Sus scrofa: one gene and its partners. The protein of the gene in region 3 interacts with the protein of the main gene of each other region in a pairwise test. Links are inferred from orthologs where the notes say so. Each region holds a gene or a part of one and is shown on either strand. Other genes may lie near its edges.

Evidence for each region. The genes of interacting proteins can lie anywhere in the genome.
Region 1: the proteins of PTK6 (region 3) and FCHO1 interact in binary tests that used the Homo sapiens proteins (3 or more experiments, as listed by UniProt). The two-hybrid records come from large-scale screens. The link is inferred for Sus scrofa from reciprocal best matches to the Homo sapiens genes PTK6 and FCHO1.
Region 2: the proteins of PTK6 (region 3) and KHDRBS2 interact in binary tests that used the Homo sapiens proteins (3 or more experiments, as listed by UniProt). The two-hybrid records come from large-scale screens. The link is inferred for Sus scrofa from reciprocal best matches to the Homo sapiens genes PTK6 and KHDRBS2.
Region 4: the proteins of PTK6 (region 3) and EXOC5 interact in binary tests that used the Homo sapiens proteins (3 or more experiments, as listed by UniProt). The two-hybrid records come from large-scale screens. The link is inferred for Sus scrofa from reciprocal best matches to the Homo sapiens genes PTK6 and EXOC5.

What each region holds. Positions count from the first base shown.
Region 1 is NC_010444.4:59,973,475-59,976,990, reverse strand, and holds part of FCHO1 (F-BAR domain only protein 1), read left to right. Parts: intron 1-946; coding exon 947-1,088; intron 1,089-3,516. UniProt on the Homo sapiens protein: Functions in an early step of clathrin-mediated endocytosis. Has both a membrane binding/bending activity and the ability to recruit proteins essential to the formation of functional clathrin-coated pits.
Region 2 is NC_010449.5:27,616,065-27,619,580, forward strand, and holds part of KHDRBS2 (KH domain-containing, RNA-binding, signal transduction-associated protein 2), read right to left. Parts: intron 1,851-3,516; coding exon 1,704-1,850; intron 1-1,703. UniProt on the Homo sapiens protein: RNA-binding protein that plays a role in the regulation of alternative splicing and influences mRNA splice site selection and exon inclusion. Binds both poly(A) and poly(U) homopolymers. Phosphorylation by PTK6 inhibits its RNA-binding ability.
Region 3 is NC_010459.5:62,543,632-62,547,791, forward strand, and holds the start of PTK6 (protein-tyrosine kinase 6), read right to left. Parts: upstream 2,805-4,160; 5' UTR 1,823-2,804; coding exon 1,429-1,822; intron 1,175-1,428; coding exon 1,014-1,174; intron 496-1,013; coding exon 342-495; intron 1-341. UniProt on the Homo sapiens protein: Non-receptor tyrosine-protein kinase implicated in the regulation of a variety of signaling pathways that control the differentiation and maintenance of normal epithelia, as well as tumor growth.
Region 4 is NC_010443.5:186,381,699-186,385,214, forward strand, and holds part of EXOC5 (exocyst complex component 5), read right to left. Parts: intron 3,417-3,516; coding exon 3,308-3,416; intron 3,131-3,307; coding exon 2,915-3,130; intron 1,979-2,914; coding exon 1,790-1,978; 3' UTR 1-1,789. UniProt on the Homo sapiens protein: Component of the exocyst complex involved in the docking of exocytic vesicles with fusion sites on the plasma membrane.

The DNA.
Region 1 (3,516 bases), on a different chromosome or scaffold from region 3:
GCAGTGGGTTGAAGATCTGGCATTGTCACTGCAGTGGCTTGGGTCACTGCTGTGGCTCGGGTCACTGCTGTGGCTCAGGTTCAACCCCTGGCCCAGAAACTTCCCTAGGCCATGGGTACAGACTAAAAAAATAAATGAATAAATAAATTCCAAGAGTGGAGTTCCCGTTGTGGCGCAGTGGTTAACGAATCCAACTAGGAACCATGAGGTTGCGGGTTCGGTCCCTGCCCTTGCTCAGTGGGTTAACGATCCGGCGTTGCCGTGAGCTGTGGTGTAGGTTGCAGACGCGGCTCAGATCCTGCGTTGCTGTGGCTCTGGCGTAGACTGGCGGCTACAGCTCCGATTGGACCCCTAGCCTGTGAACCTCCATATGCCACGGGAGCGGCCCAAAGAAATAGCAAAAAGACAATAAATAAATAAATAAAAATAAATAAATAAATAAATTCCAAGAGTTCCCGATGTGGCTCAGCAGAAATGAATCTGACTTAGCATCCATGAGGATGCAGGTTCAATCCCTGGTCTCACTCAGTGGGTAAGGATCCAGCGTTGCCATAAGCTGAGGTGTAGGTTACAGAAGCAGCTCGGATCCTGCGTTACTTTGGCTGTGGTATAGGCCAGCAGCTACAGCTCGGATTCAGCCCCTAGCCTGGGAACCTCCATATGCCACGGGGGCGGCCTCCCAAAAAAAGCAATAAATAAATAAATTCCAGTTCTGATGTTCATTTGCCGAGGAACAAATAATTATGGAGCCTCCCATGCCTCGGCTTCCCCATCTGCCATAGACCCACCTCATATGACTGCAGTGGGGATTACATGAATGAATGAATATGTGTTAATGCCTGGCGGGGCCCAGGGCACATTAGGTGCCTGAGCCACTGCTGGTCATGCTCTCTGAGGGGACCTCGGGGGTTGGGCATGCCCTGGGTGTGATCCCACCTGTTTCTAGGACCTTCGCCCCACTCTGGGAGGTCTTCCGAGTCTCCTCAGACAAGCTGGCGCTCTGCCACCTGGAGCTGACACGGAAGCTACAGGACCTCATCAAGGACGTGCTTCGCTACAGTGACGAACAGCTCAAGACACACAAGAAGGTGCGTGCTGTGTATGCTGCCCTGCCGGTGGAAGGGGGGTTCCCAGTGGCTTCCAGGATCCCCAGACTTCTGGGACCTAGAACCTCCAGCCCCTCGTGTATGTGCCTCTGAAAATTCTGTTAATTTGGGGACATCAAACCCAGAATCTCAAAGACCTGAGCATTGTTGAATTTCAGACTCTGAAAATTCTAGAGCAGGGGTCTGCAAACTATGGCCCTCGGGCCATATCCCACGCATGGTCTGTTTTTGTATAGCCCTCGCTCAAGCTGGCGGTGATTTTTTACTTTTTTTTCTCTTTTGGCTGCCCCATGGCATATGGAGTTCCCAGGCCAGGGATTGGATCTGAGCTGCAGCTGCAACCTGCATTGGCAGTGCTGGATCCTTTCAACCTACTGTGTCAGGCCAGGAACGGAAACTGGGTCCTGGAGCTGCAGAGACATTGCCGATCAAGTTGTACCACAATGGGAACTCTGGTTTTTACATTTTTAAAAGATTGGTAAGGAGTTCCCGTCATGGCTCAGTGGTTAACGTATCTGACTAACCCATGAGGTTGTGGGTTCGATCCCTGGCCTTGCTCGGTAGGTTAAGGATCCAGCATTGGAGTTCCCGTTGTGGCACAGTGGTTAACGAATCCAACTAGGAACCATGAGGTTGTGGGTTCGGTCCCTGCCCTTGCTCAGTGGGTTAAGGATCCGGCGTTGCCATGAGCTGTGGTGTAGGTTGCAGACGCGGCTCGGATCCCACGTTGCTGTGGCTCTGGCGTAGACTGGTGGCTACAGCTCCGATTCGACCCCTAGCCTGGGAACCTCCATATGCCGAAGGAGCGGCCCAAGAAATAGCAAAAAAAAAAAAGGATCCAGCATTGCCGTGAGCTGTGATGTAGGTCACAGATGTGGCTCAGATCCCGAGTTGCTGTGGCTCTGGCGTAGGCCGGCGCTACAGCTCCAATTAGACCCCTAGCCTGGGAACCTCCATATGCCGTGGGAGCAGCCCTAGAAATGACAAAAAGACAAAAAAAAAAAAAGTTTGGTAAAAAATCAAAATAATATTTTATGACGTGATTATGTGACACTCAGATTTCAGTACCAGTTAGTACAGTTTTGTTGGCCACAGCCACACCTACTCAAGTTCATATTGTCTGTGGCTGTTTTGTTGAGCTGCAATAACTGAGTTGAGTGTTTGTGATAAGCAGAACACATTAACTAGCGGACCCCCCCCCCGTTTTTTTCTTTTTAGGGCCACAGGTGCGGCATATGGAAGTTCCCAGGCTAGGGGTCAAATTGGAGCTACAGCTGCCAGCCTATGCCACAGCCACAGCAATTCAGAATCTGAGCCACATCTGTGACCTACACCACAGCTCATAGCAATGCCAGATCCTTAACCCACTGAGCAAGGCCAGGGATCAAACCCATGTCCTCATGGATACTAGTTGGGTTCGTTTCCACTGAGCCACATCGGACACTCCAACTATCTGACTCCTTAAAAGAAAAGGTTTGCTGACTGCTGATCTAGAGCAGTAGGAGGTACAGATCTTGTTATTTGATATTTCTAGACTCTTAACAAACCTAGAATCCTGGAAGATTCAGACCTTAGATTCTCAGGATCCCCAAATATTCAAAGCTTATAATTCTAGAGTCATAGAAGCTTTGTGTTTACAGAGCCCTAGAATCTGCAGTTTTTAACCCTTGTTTTAAAAAGGGAGTTGGAGGGGGTTCCCTTTGTGGCTTATTGGGTTAAAAATCTGACTAGTATCCATGAGGGCGTGGGTTCAATCTCTAGCTTTGCTCAGTGGGTTAGGGATCCAGCATTGCCACAAGCTGCTGGGTCGAAGATGCAGCTGGGATCTGGCATTGCTGTGGCTGTGGCATAGGCCGGCGGCTATGGCTCTGATTCGACACCTAGCCTGTAAACCTCCATACAGGGTGGGCCCTAAAAAGACAAAAAATAAACAAATAGAAAAGGAGTTGGGAGTTGCTGCTGTGGTGCAATGGGATCGGCATCGTCTCTGGAGTGCTGGGATGCAGGTTCGATCCCTGGGTGGACACAGTGAGTTAAGAATCCAGCATTGCCACAGCTTCAGCTTGGGGAAGCCACAAATAGGGGGGCAGATGGGCAGGGATGTCTCTGGTGGTCCAGTGGTTAGGATTTGATGCTTTCACCACTGTGGCCCAAGTTCAATCCCTGGTCTGGGAGGTGAGATCCCGTATCAAGCCACTGCACACTTGGGGGCTGGGGGGGGAGAAAGAAAGAAAAAAGAAAAGGAGTTGGTAGTACTTAATACCGTACACTTAAAAATGGCTAAGATGGCAAATTTTATGTGTATTTTATCACACTTTTTAAAAAATTAGGGAACAAAGGAGTTCCCCTTATGGCTCATCAGTTAATGAATCTGACCAGCATCCATGAGGACACGTATTTGATCCCTGGC
Region 2 (3,516 bases), on a different chromosome or scaffold from region 3:
AGCAATGAAATAGGATTTTCTCTTATACAGTTCACCTCCATCATTCCAAGATGGTTTTTATCTACTTGTAATAATAAAAAAGATTTAAAACATCAATTTATATAGTGCTTTACAATTTTCTATGCCTTTTTATATGCATTACCCCATTTAATAGTCACAATAACTATGACAGAAGCCCTTCAGTTATTATTATCTCCTTAGCTTCTTTGTAAAGATGAATCAGCTAATTTTTTTTTTTTAATTGGCTGCACTGGCAGCATGCACAAGTTCCTGGGCCTGGGATGGAAGCTGCCACAGCAGCAACCTGTGGCACAGCAGTGACCCCAGCAGATCCTTAACCCACTGAGCCATCAGGGAATCCAGCTGAAGTTCTGAGAATTTAACTGACTCGTCTACAGGCACAAAATGAGTTACTAGTCTAGACGGTGTAGCTTTTTCCTATAATACCTATATCATCAGAGGTCTGGTCTGAGCTAAATACAGTACAAATGTGTAACCAACAGCATCAACGTGTAGAGAACACAGGATCTTCATTCTTAAGAAATACAGGGTCTATTTAGAGAGGTATTCAAACTACACTAGATAATAAGGTGTGCAGATAAAGTTATGGAATAATCAGAGCAGTATGGGGTTATTCTATAACCTTTTCCTGACAGAAGAATTTTAAACTGGGCCTACACATAGATTACGTTGTTTGATTTTGACACTTTTCCATTCTGGAATTCTGTTTTTTTCGTTTATTTCCCCATTCTCAAATCACGGGCCAACCAATGAACTGTAAGATTCATGACTTCCTCTGAGCTCATTAATTAGTTTAGAAAACTGCAGTGTTTCTTCATCACACGGATTAAGCTTAGCTATTCTCTTTCTCTGCTGAGGACCTGGTCTGCCAGAGCACTCCCAAAAACCGTACTCAGCATTCTCTTCCAATTATCTTATTCCCAGCTCTAAGCCTGGTGCCAAGATTTCTATTTAAACAACCTCTTCCTAGAATGCGAAATTGTCAACCTTTAGGAAAGCTTCGTTCTTCTATTTCTTAGAAAATCAGTAGAGAATTCTATTCAGTGTGCATCCCTGAATTTGCTGCCTTACTAAATGAACATTCTCTGCTTCTCTCATTTAGCACAATGAGTTCATTTTTCCAATTTTTTGCATGACGTCAACAAATGTCCAATTCTATTAATATTGGTATTTTATATTATATTTTATAATGAGCCAGCACCTGGCATACTATGACATAAAAGCACATTTGATAGTTTCAAACAACACATCGTCTTGTTACAAATATTACACATCCAATCTCTTTTCCCTCCCACTGTACCTGAAAATATTTCTCTATTAAAAATTATGAATAATATGTGTCAACTACCAAGTCATTAGACACAAGAGAAAGGTACGCAACTTCAGTTACATATTTGTGTTTATGTGTTAACTCTCTTATTCTTATTCTTCATGGCCATGAACAGCGCAGGGCACAGAATGCAGTTGAGACAAATACTGCTGCCAAACCGTCATTATGTGGCAACATGTCAGGTCCTGTGCTGAGTGTTTTGGTATTCTTTTTTATTTTTACCTTCATATCAACTCTATAAAGAAGAAGTCTGCAGCATAAATTTCCATCTAAAAAGTCAGTGAAGATCAAAGGCACATTTTATAATAGAAACTCATAAGAAACATCTTTGTAAAAAATGAAAAACACTTACAGGAACCAGGAATTTTTTAATCTCTTCCAGTGCATGACTCATACGTGAATAAGCTTCCCCAGGTGGAGCGAAAACTTCAATTAATACATGAAGTTCATCGCTCAAGTGGGCATATTTGGCTTCTCCACTCTTCCTTAGTTCTTCTTCCTGTGAAAGAGGTTATTTTTAGAAATACAAATCTACTCATTTTGCATTGATTTAACATTTACTGAAAAGATGACAAAAGGGCATAATCTAAGCAAATTTTCCCTAACTAGAAATCCTTTGGGAAATGAAAATCTGGTACAAGCCATTTAAAGATTTTTAAAATCATTTCTGAGTGTTTGAATGATTAAAAAAAAAACTTGGCATAATTATCATCTACACCACATTTTAATCAGCTAAATGAAAATGCTAAGTCTGAAAAGAAGTTACAGAAATGCCATTAACTCTTCACTGTACACCACAGGAAGAAAAGGATTATTTTTGTGCCTGACAAATAATCACTTGCAGATAAACTCCAGGTGACCACTGTTCTTTAAGAAAACCAGGATCTTCTAGATACTTTTGGAGAAGTGGTGAAAGGTTACTTGCTCCTCATGAACATGAGCAGACCCAAGGCTTCCTCCCCAGCCCAGTTCCCACTGGCCCAGATTCTCATCTGGCTTCTACCCAGCATCTCGCTATCCTTTGTCACCTCCCCCTGGTCAAGACGGAGGAGCACATTAAAGGGTTGGTGGTTAAGCATTCTGTTGGCCTTGATTCTGCATGAGTTACACACCTGCAGCTTAACTTGACAATGGATTTCTCTTGGAGCAGATTCTGTCATCCTTTATCTAAGTTGTTACTGGTTAATTTAGTAATCTGCAGAGCAAATCAGCACACGATCCATGCACTGTGCTAATGTGTGCTAGGTCTTTAACACATGTCATTGCTAAACTCACAACCACCTCACACAATGTTCACATATTTCACATTAGGAAATATTGAGAAAATTGAGTTTAAAAGACTTTAGTGAACTTGCGCAAAATTGGGACTCAAGCTCAGTTTTCAACGAGATTTGCATTTTTTTAGGATTTCAAAGAAACAAAATGTGGTTAAAAATGTACTTAAAGAGGGAGTTTCCATTGTGGTTCAGTGGTAAAGAACCCGACTAGTATCCATGAGGATGTGGGTTCAACTCCTGGCCTCGCTCAGTGGGTTAAGGATCCAGCGTTGCCGTTAAGCTGTGGTGTAGGTCACGGATGCGGCTCAGGTCTGGTGTTGCTGTGGCATAGGCTGGCAGCTGAAGCTCCAATTTGACCCCTAGCCTGGAAACTTCCATATGCTATGGGTGTGGTTCTAAAAAAAGAACATAAATAATATTAATTATATTTTACCTTTCTTAACTCTTCTCCCCTCAAACTAGCAGTAAATTTCAAAGGGTAGAACTTTAAAAAACATTTTTTTTTTTTTTTTAGTTGTACGTGTGGGTTAAATTAGAAAAGCGATGTGAATACACCTAAACTAGATAAACAAAAGCAAATTTGCTACTGATTTCATATGAGGAACTGTATGACCCATGTTAACGGGTTTATCTGATTAAAAATGCCCATCATTTCCACGCATGGAGGATCCATAACAGAGGTGGAAGCCACTTTCCTCAGAACCTTCGCCTACTCAGATCTCTCTAACAGCAATACCTTTCAGCCTAGAAATTCACCTTCACTTCCCTAAGCATTGTTCTCTAACTAGGAGTTTTGACTTTTATTAAAAAGGTTTTTCTTAGTGCTCAATTCTCAGATAGGGGAAGCAGAGCTCGACTCAGCAAATCTGCACCTGTGGGTGGAGCTAA
Region 3 (4,160 bases):
GGGCACCACCAGTACCGTCACTTGGTTCACACCTGGCCCAGCCAGCTGGGGAGCCGGCACTAGCTCCCTGCAGCCCCGGCCCCGGCTCCTGCAGGGGGTGGGCCCCTGGGAGGTTTGCGGGGAACCTCTTCAGATTCCTAGAGACCTATTTTAATGGCGTTCCTTTCATTTACATTAAGAATTTGAAATTCCCTTTTAAGGTAAATGCATTCAGGTGAAAGAAAGCCAGCAGCTGCAGCAGGTGCCCCATGGTCCAAGCCAGGGTGGCGAGTGGGGCTCGGAGCGCAGGGCCCCCCACCCCGGGGCCGAGGCCAGTTGCCCCCGGCCTGGGGCGCACTCACCTCGGGCAATCACCTTAATGGCCACTCGGACCTTGTCCTTCCAGAGCCCTTCAAAGACCTCCCCGAAGTAGCCGGCGCCCAGCTTCCGGCAAAGCGTGAACTCCTCCCTCGGCCTCTCCCAGTCGTCACAGTGGGGCAGGGGCTCGGGCTCATGCTGCAGGGGCACAGGGCCAGCCCTTCAGGGGGGCCCCACTCTAACCCCTGCAGGCGGACAGCCGCTGGCCTGTCCTCAAGTGTGGACCGCCTTCTGCCTGGGATGTGTGGCCCTGGCCCTCCTGGGGGCTGCCCGTGGCCTGGCCAATGCCTGCCAACACACCCCCCCCCACCTGCTCTGGGCCAGTGACATTGGCCTGAGTGCCACTCGTACAGAATTCCCGTCCAGCCCTTGGCCCCAGGCACCCACCAGCCTGGAGACTTAGGGCGTGGCAAGAGCTCCGCTGACCTCTGGCTGGCCCCGGGGACAGTGACTGGGCAAAGGGGGGGCACGTCCCCAGCCCACCCCCAGCTCTGCACAGTCACAGCTCCCAGGCAGCCAGCGTCCCCAGGCTGTGTCCCCAGTCAGTCGGGGTGTCAGGACCCACCCCCACCGCCACCCGAGGGTTCCGGCGCCTGAGGAGAGAGGGCTGAAGCCTGGGGGGGGAGGCAAGGGTCTGGCTGTGGCAGGGGCCCTACCTTCCAGCAGGGCGAGGTCAGCCTCAGGCCGTGGGACAGACTCTGGGCCTTGTGGTGCTCCACGAGTTCGGCCAGGCTGGGGAAGGACACGGCCTCGCTGAGGTGCAGCCGGCTGGCCCGCTGCCAGATCTTGTAGTGCCGCACGGTCTGCCTGTCCCGCACTGGATGGGGGGGCCCGCTCGTGAATGGGCAGAGAGCAGCCCACCCTCGGGGGGGGCGCCCCAACGGCGACCGGAGAGAACCCAGACCGACCCCACCCAACCCACTGAGGGATCAGAGTTCCCCGGGCAGGGCCTGCAGGTCCCAGATGCCCAGGGCAGTGGGGAGCCGGGCCGGGGGTGGGGGGTCTCTGCCTGCAGGAAGGGAGCCCCCAACTCAGGCGCGGGGGCGGGGGGCTGCAGTGGAGGAGGAGTACCCGAGAGGACGTAGTTGGCGCCAGGCTTTTCGCTGGTCCTGACCAGGAAGGCCCCCTGCTCGACGCCTGCGGCCAGCAGCCGGTGTGAGGCTTCTGAGCGAGAGATTGGGCCGCAGAACCACCTGCGAGGTGGGGGGTCCTGAGCCTCGGAGACCTTGGCTGTGCCCCCGCCCTGCCCAACGCTGGCACATGGCTGCCTGCAGACACTCACTGACCCCAAGGTCCCTTCTTTGCCCCTCAACTGACCCCCCAGGGTCCCAAGTGGCCCTGGGGACCCAGAAGTGGACACTACCTGGTGTCTCCTGGCTCTGGGGACAGAGCCACCCCCTTCTGTGGGGACAGCAGCCCCCCAACCTTGGGTGCTGTGCTCTGGCTCCCTGGGACTCACCCACATGCACCCACGCGCACACCCACCCACACGGTGCAGCCACACGCGCCCTTGCTCCCCCGCCCCCAGAGCCGGCACAGGGACAAGCCCTGGACTCCGGAGGGCAGGCTGGGGCCTGCGGTCCTTCCCCGGACACCTCTGCCTCCGTGCTCTGCCCTCTGCACTCCCCACTCCAGGGTCCCGTTAGAACGTGGGCCCCGGGGGAGGGCACGGCCGGCACGGAGCCCGCGGGCCATGCCCACCCCCACTGGTCCAGCACCTCTGGAATCGCTCCCATCCACTCTCCCCGCCAGCCTCCCGCCCCTTCGCACCTCTCGAATGTGCTGAGTCCCCAGGCCTCAGGGCCTTGGCAATGGCTCTGACCCCTGCATTATCACTGCCCAGGGCTTGGCCCGTCCTGTCTGCTGCTCTCTCTTCAGGAGGCGCCCAGTGGAAGGAGCGCACAGGAGGGGATGGGGTGCAATGGGTCTTGGGCACACGGCTGCCCTATGGCCCCGCCCACCAAGAGCCACCTGCCCATGATGGGGCAGCCATGCTGGTACAGGGAGCACGTCCGTGGCCCACACCCAGGGCGGGCGTGTCGCAATGGCCTTCCCGGCTCCTCTGACTAGGCCACCAGTCTGGTTTTGTGTGTTTGGAAGGTGAGTGGAGCTTTGCTCCAACAAAGGCCCAGCCTCGGCCTCGGCTTCCTGTGCAGACCCCTCACTGTCAGCAGGCGGCCCCCTGGGTCCTGACACCAGCAGGTGACTGCGTGGCAGCTGTGGCCTCCCTGGAGATGTCAGAAGCCCAGTGAGGGGTCCCAAGGCCAGGAGGGAAGGTCCAGCCCCACGGAGGGGCACAGGGAAACAAATCCATGGGCCCCATCCTTGGCCAGCTTGGTGCCCCTGTCCCCACCTGGAGCCCAGCCACAGGGGTAGAGTTGTCCCAACAGCCACCCTGCCCTGAGCCCAAGAGGGCCACCTGGAAAGGCTCCAAGGGCCACAGGGACACTCACGGCTCTGACTCCACTGTCTCCTTCTCGGCCAGGTAGCTTTGGGGTACGTAGCCCTCGGCCAGCGCCTGGCCCGCCGTGTCCAGCAGGATGGCCCACCACCACTCCTCCTCCTTCCTGGCCACGTGGAAGAGGTCCCCTGCCCGGAAGCTCAGCTCCTCGGCCGTCCGAGCCTCGAAGTCCCAGAGGCCCATGTACTTGGGGCCCAGGGCAGCCTGGCCCTGGGACCCCATGGCCGGTGCCCTGCCACCTTCACCCGTCCAGCTTCAGGCAGCCCTGGCTGGGAGGAGCCCGTGGGCAGGGCTGACCCTGACAGGCCGTCCCCGCCCCGCTGAGCCGCCACCCACCTTCGTGATGAGGTGGCTGGGCCAGCCACACCTGTGCCACCAAGGATGGCCTCCCCAAGCGCCCTGGGCTCTGCCCTGAGGGCCCCAACAGCCCCCACCCATCCCCCCACGCCTGGGCCAGGTCAGGCTGGGCACTCTTGCCCGCCTGCTGTGGGAAAGCTGCCCAGAGGAGGCTGGTGAGCGCTCAGCCAGGGGGCGAGGCGGGGCTGGAGGACCAGGGCCAAGGCGCTCCGCCCCAGACCTCCCAGGAGACAGCCAGACCCAGGGACAGCCAGCTGGCAGCTGAGTCTCTGCTGGACGCCGAGACAGGCGCTGCCTCTCCTGCTCCTCACCCGCGGCACCTGGCCCCACCCTCCAGCCCCTTGAGGGCTGAGGGGACTTCACATCATACGGCCCCTACTCATTGGCGCTTTCGCTTTTATTGAGCAGCGTGGGGACACCGATCCCTTCACTTTGAGATCAGGAGGGTATGTCTCAGGTTCATGAGTGAAGTGCACAGCCTGCTCAGGTCTGAGCAGGAGGGGCAGGCCCAAGGGGAGGGACAGAAGGGCCGGCTGAGCTGTTCGGCACCCTTGGGCTCCAAGGCCCCCCCACCGCAGTCCACCCTTCACTGTGAGTAGAGTGCTCTGCCCCTCAGGCCTTGGCCCTGCCTGGGAGCCGTGGGCCCACACCAACCAGGAAGCCAGAAGTTTCCAAGGCCAAGGTCCGAGCCCTCCCAGGACACCAGCACCAAACCTGTTGAGCTTGAGCCCATGAGACGGCCCAGGGGTGGAGCAGTGACCGCACCTGTCCTGTCTCCCCGCCCAGGGCATTCTCCCGCCCGCCAGCCCGGCCCCGCACACCATGGTTCCCAGGAAAGAGAGAGCAATCCCTTCCAGTGGTCTGGGAACCGCCCAGAACCAGGCGAGTCTGGCTCCAGCCCTCGCTCTGGGCCCTCCCAGGACAGGACGGAGGCAGGTCGAGGCACAGGCCTAAAGGCTCAGGCCAGACCCTCCCGCCCCCACTG
Region 4 (3,516 bases), on a different chromosome or scaffold from region 3:
GATTTGGAAGTCTTTAAAATGTTTTATGTTTTATTTGATCATTTTTCCCTTTTTTTTAAACAAATTGACAGTGTGTACAAAGAGTTCAAATGGCCAGTAGAACTACTGCTTTAAAATTGTTGGCTTTTAAGTAACAGAGGTATAATTTGAATTCACATCAGAGCTTTCTAAAATGGCAAAAGTACAAGCCTATGACTTTCTCTAGTATCCAAAGCCTGTTCTGGCTCTCCTTCGGCTAAGGAATAGAAAACTAGACAGCCTTCTAAAGCTGCCACGATTTCCTAAAATGCTTTGATAAAAGTTGGCATATTTCATTTCTCTTGCTTACCTTGATAACACTGGGCTAAACAGAAAATGAAGAAAATTCAGTCAATAGTAACTTAAATGGTAGCTAATTTGCTTTGGACCTGGAAATTTTGGTAAAGTTGATGAATATTCAGAAACATATTCTTAAAAGTAATTTTCCAAAATTAGGCCAGAAAGTCTACATTCAAGAAAAAAAAAGCCAAGAATGAGTTGAACATTAAAGTTTATCTGTTCCTGGAAGACTATGGACAACACAACGGAAACTTAAATACCACATATAGCTAAGAACGCATTCTCACAGAGCAAGTTTATAGTTTTCAGAGTAAAGGCCTTTCTAAATTTCCACTTGATGTTTAAAATTTTATAAGTGATTTATTATGTCACCATATTAAGCCAATTCAATTAACTACATTCAGTAGGAATCACTTTAAGAAATGCCTTGAAAAAGGTAATGACAGAAACTACAGATTTAAAAAGCAACTAGTCCTTGCAAAGCTCATCTCAAGACTCAGAATATATAATGCTATCAATTCCCAACTCCTCTTAAAATAGAAGACTACCTGCATGTTTAGCCATTCACTCTTATTCCAGTTTAGCATAAAGACAGAAATCTTAAAGGACTACACTGCTGCTAAACATGGTCAATACTTCCCATATGTACCATTAAGACTATACCTCACTTTTTACTTTCCTTATGGTTCTTTAGTTAAGATCTTCCAGCTTATCTTAAGTGAAATACAAAATAAGGTAGTTTTATTACTTTCTTACTAGCATTGGCTTAAAATCTGTTTACCAAATAAGAAATTGTAAACTTTAAGTTTTTTTAACCCAGAAAGCAGATGTATTCTGATCCAGTGCTAATACCTACCTAAAACACTTCATCATTTTAGTTTTGTTTGCAACATTTTCCTTGGAATAGTATTAAATATAATATTTTTTCTGTACTTCAGAAAAAATCCAATCAACCAACTATAGAATTTATGCTCAAATGTTAACCTTTTGAAAGAGAAAAATATTCTCCAGGAAAACCTAAAATAACTCGATTAACAATTACCAGTGCTGAAAAGTTCATTAAAAATTGATAAATAAATGTAGTTCTGCTGTATTTTACCCATTATTAGTGCAAAACAGGATGGTGGAATCTCCCAATGGAATATGTTAAAGAACATGAACTGGAACACTGTTAACATCTCATCTGCCTTCTGACACCAACATTTTCTAGGATGAAAACAATGACATGTAGTTTCACAGAATTTGAAATTTCTAAGTTCAAAAATGGAATTAAGTTCAACTTAAGGGAAAAAAGCAAAATATGGTTAAGCAGAGCCCAAATTTCAAATAAAATCTCAAGGGAAAGTATGGCTGCTGTTTTTCCAAACAGTCATTTTTCCATAAAATGTTGGCTGTGTCATAAGAAACCTCCTGTGCTTTCTGTCAACCAAGACCTGCTGAAGTACAACACATTTCCCTTGTAAATTCAACCTCAGCTGAAATGTCGAGCAAGGCGGGCAGATCTATAGTCAGCACGAAGTTGTACGAAGGAGTGAAGAATGTTCTTGTCCAGGTTAGCAAGTTGTTCTCCTGAGCAGACTTGCTTTAAATTATCTGGGGCAACTACCAGAAGATTGCAAAGTGCATGCAGAGTATCAAAAAGCTGTAATACCAGTGGAATCTGAATTGAAATAAGAGAAGGACAAAAATTATATTGAAACAAAATAATTTCTAGTTTTACTCTCTCTGTAAATTCTTCTCACTTAAATACTTGGTAGTTAGGACTTAGTAATGTTAGATAGTTGAATATTTCAGAATTTTTAAAAGCTCTTGAAGTACTAAAACTCAAATACTTCAGATGTTATATAAACTCACTATAATCTTTCTGGTAAGATTCATATTATTTCAGTTTTCTTAAATAGTAATAATCATTATACTCTTGTGGACTAGAACTAGTTATCATTAATTTAACGGTTTTCTTAAATAATTTAAACCTTAAGGGAAACTGGTTTCAGAAAGATGTACATGAAGAAAGAACATATTTTCTTTTCTTTTCTTTTTTTTGTGTGTGTGTGTGTTTTAGGGCTACACCCGCGGCACAAGGAGGTTCCCAAGCTATGGGTTGAATCGGAGCTGTAGCCACTGGCCTATGCCAAAGCCACAGCAATGCAGGATCCAAGCAGCGTCTGCGACCTACACCACAGCTTATGGCAATGCCAGCCAGATCCTTAACACACTGAGCGAGGCCAGGGATCGAACCCGCAACCTCATGGTTCCTAGTCGGATTCATTTCTGCTGCACCATGATGGAAACTCCAAAAACATATTTTCTTGATATATGCACATATACAGCATCAGTTACGGATGTTAAAAAGGTCACTTGGCTTGTGGAACTAAATTATAGCCCTGTCTAAAAAAAACTCAAAGCAAAAATGTTTTAATATCAAAAACATGATTGGAACAATACTTTTTCAGTTAGGAAATGTTAGGTCTGTCTTACTACAATACCAACAAAACTTATAAACTTTCCACTAATGATTATAAGTCATACACATTTTTTTATGATCTGACTTACGTTCTTGAGCCTATTTACAAGTTTGATATTTGTGAATACATACCTTGAAGTCTTTGGCACACTTCCTATATTCAGCTACATCACAAATTGCTAACATGCCACCCATACAACTATAGGAATATTGTTGAAGATGCTCATAAATAAGTCGATGAAAACGTACTCCAAGTTCCATCAAAACTGTATCCACATTCTTCCCATCCATGGAATTTTTAATCTTCTCCACTTGTTTTCTTACATAAGCACAGACTTTAACACAGGCCTGTAAAATTTTTTCTATACTTATTACATAGAAATGTATATCAGCTTCTCTAAGGAGAAAATATAATTTCTCATTAATCTCTAAACATAAAAGAAAAAAACTTGGAGCATAGCATAAAACAATGAAAATGTTAATAAAGCAGATATTTTTACTAGCATATTGAATCATTTTACTCACATTAGTATACTGAATCAAAACATTGTTTTCATCTTCTGGCTTAAAATCTGTTTTCTTTTGTTCTGCAGCCAAGATATGCTTCATCTGTCCAATCATACAATTTAATGTCCTAGAGAATGAGAAAATCACATATTTGATCCATTTAACTTACTTTATATTTACTTTTATTTATATTATTTAACTTCATGTCACCATAAAACTATTTTACT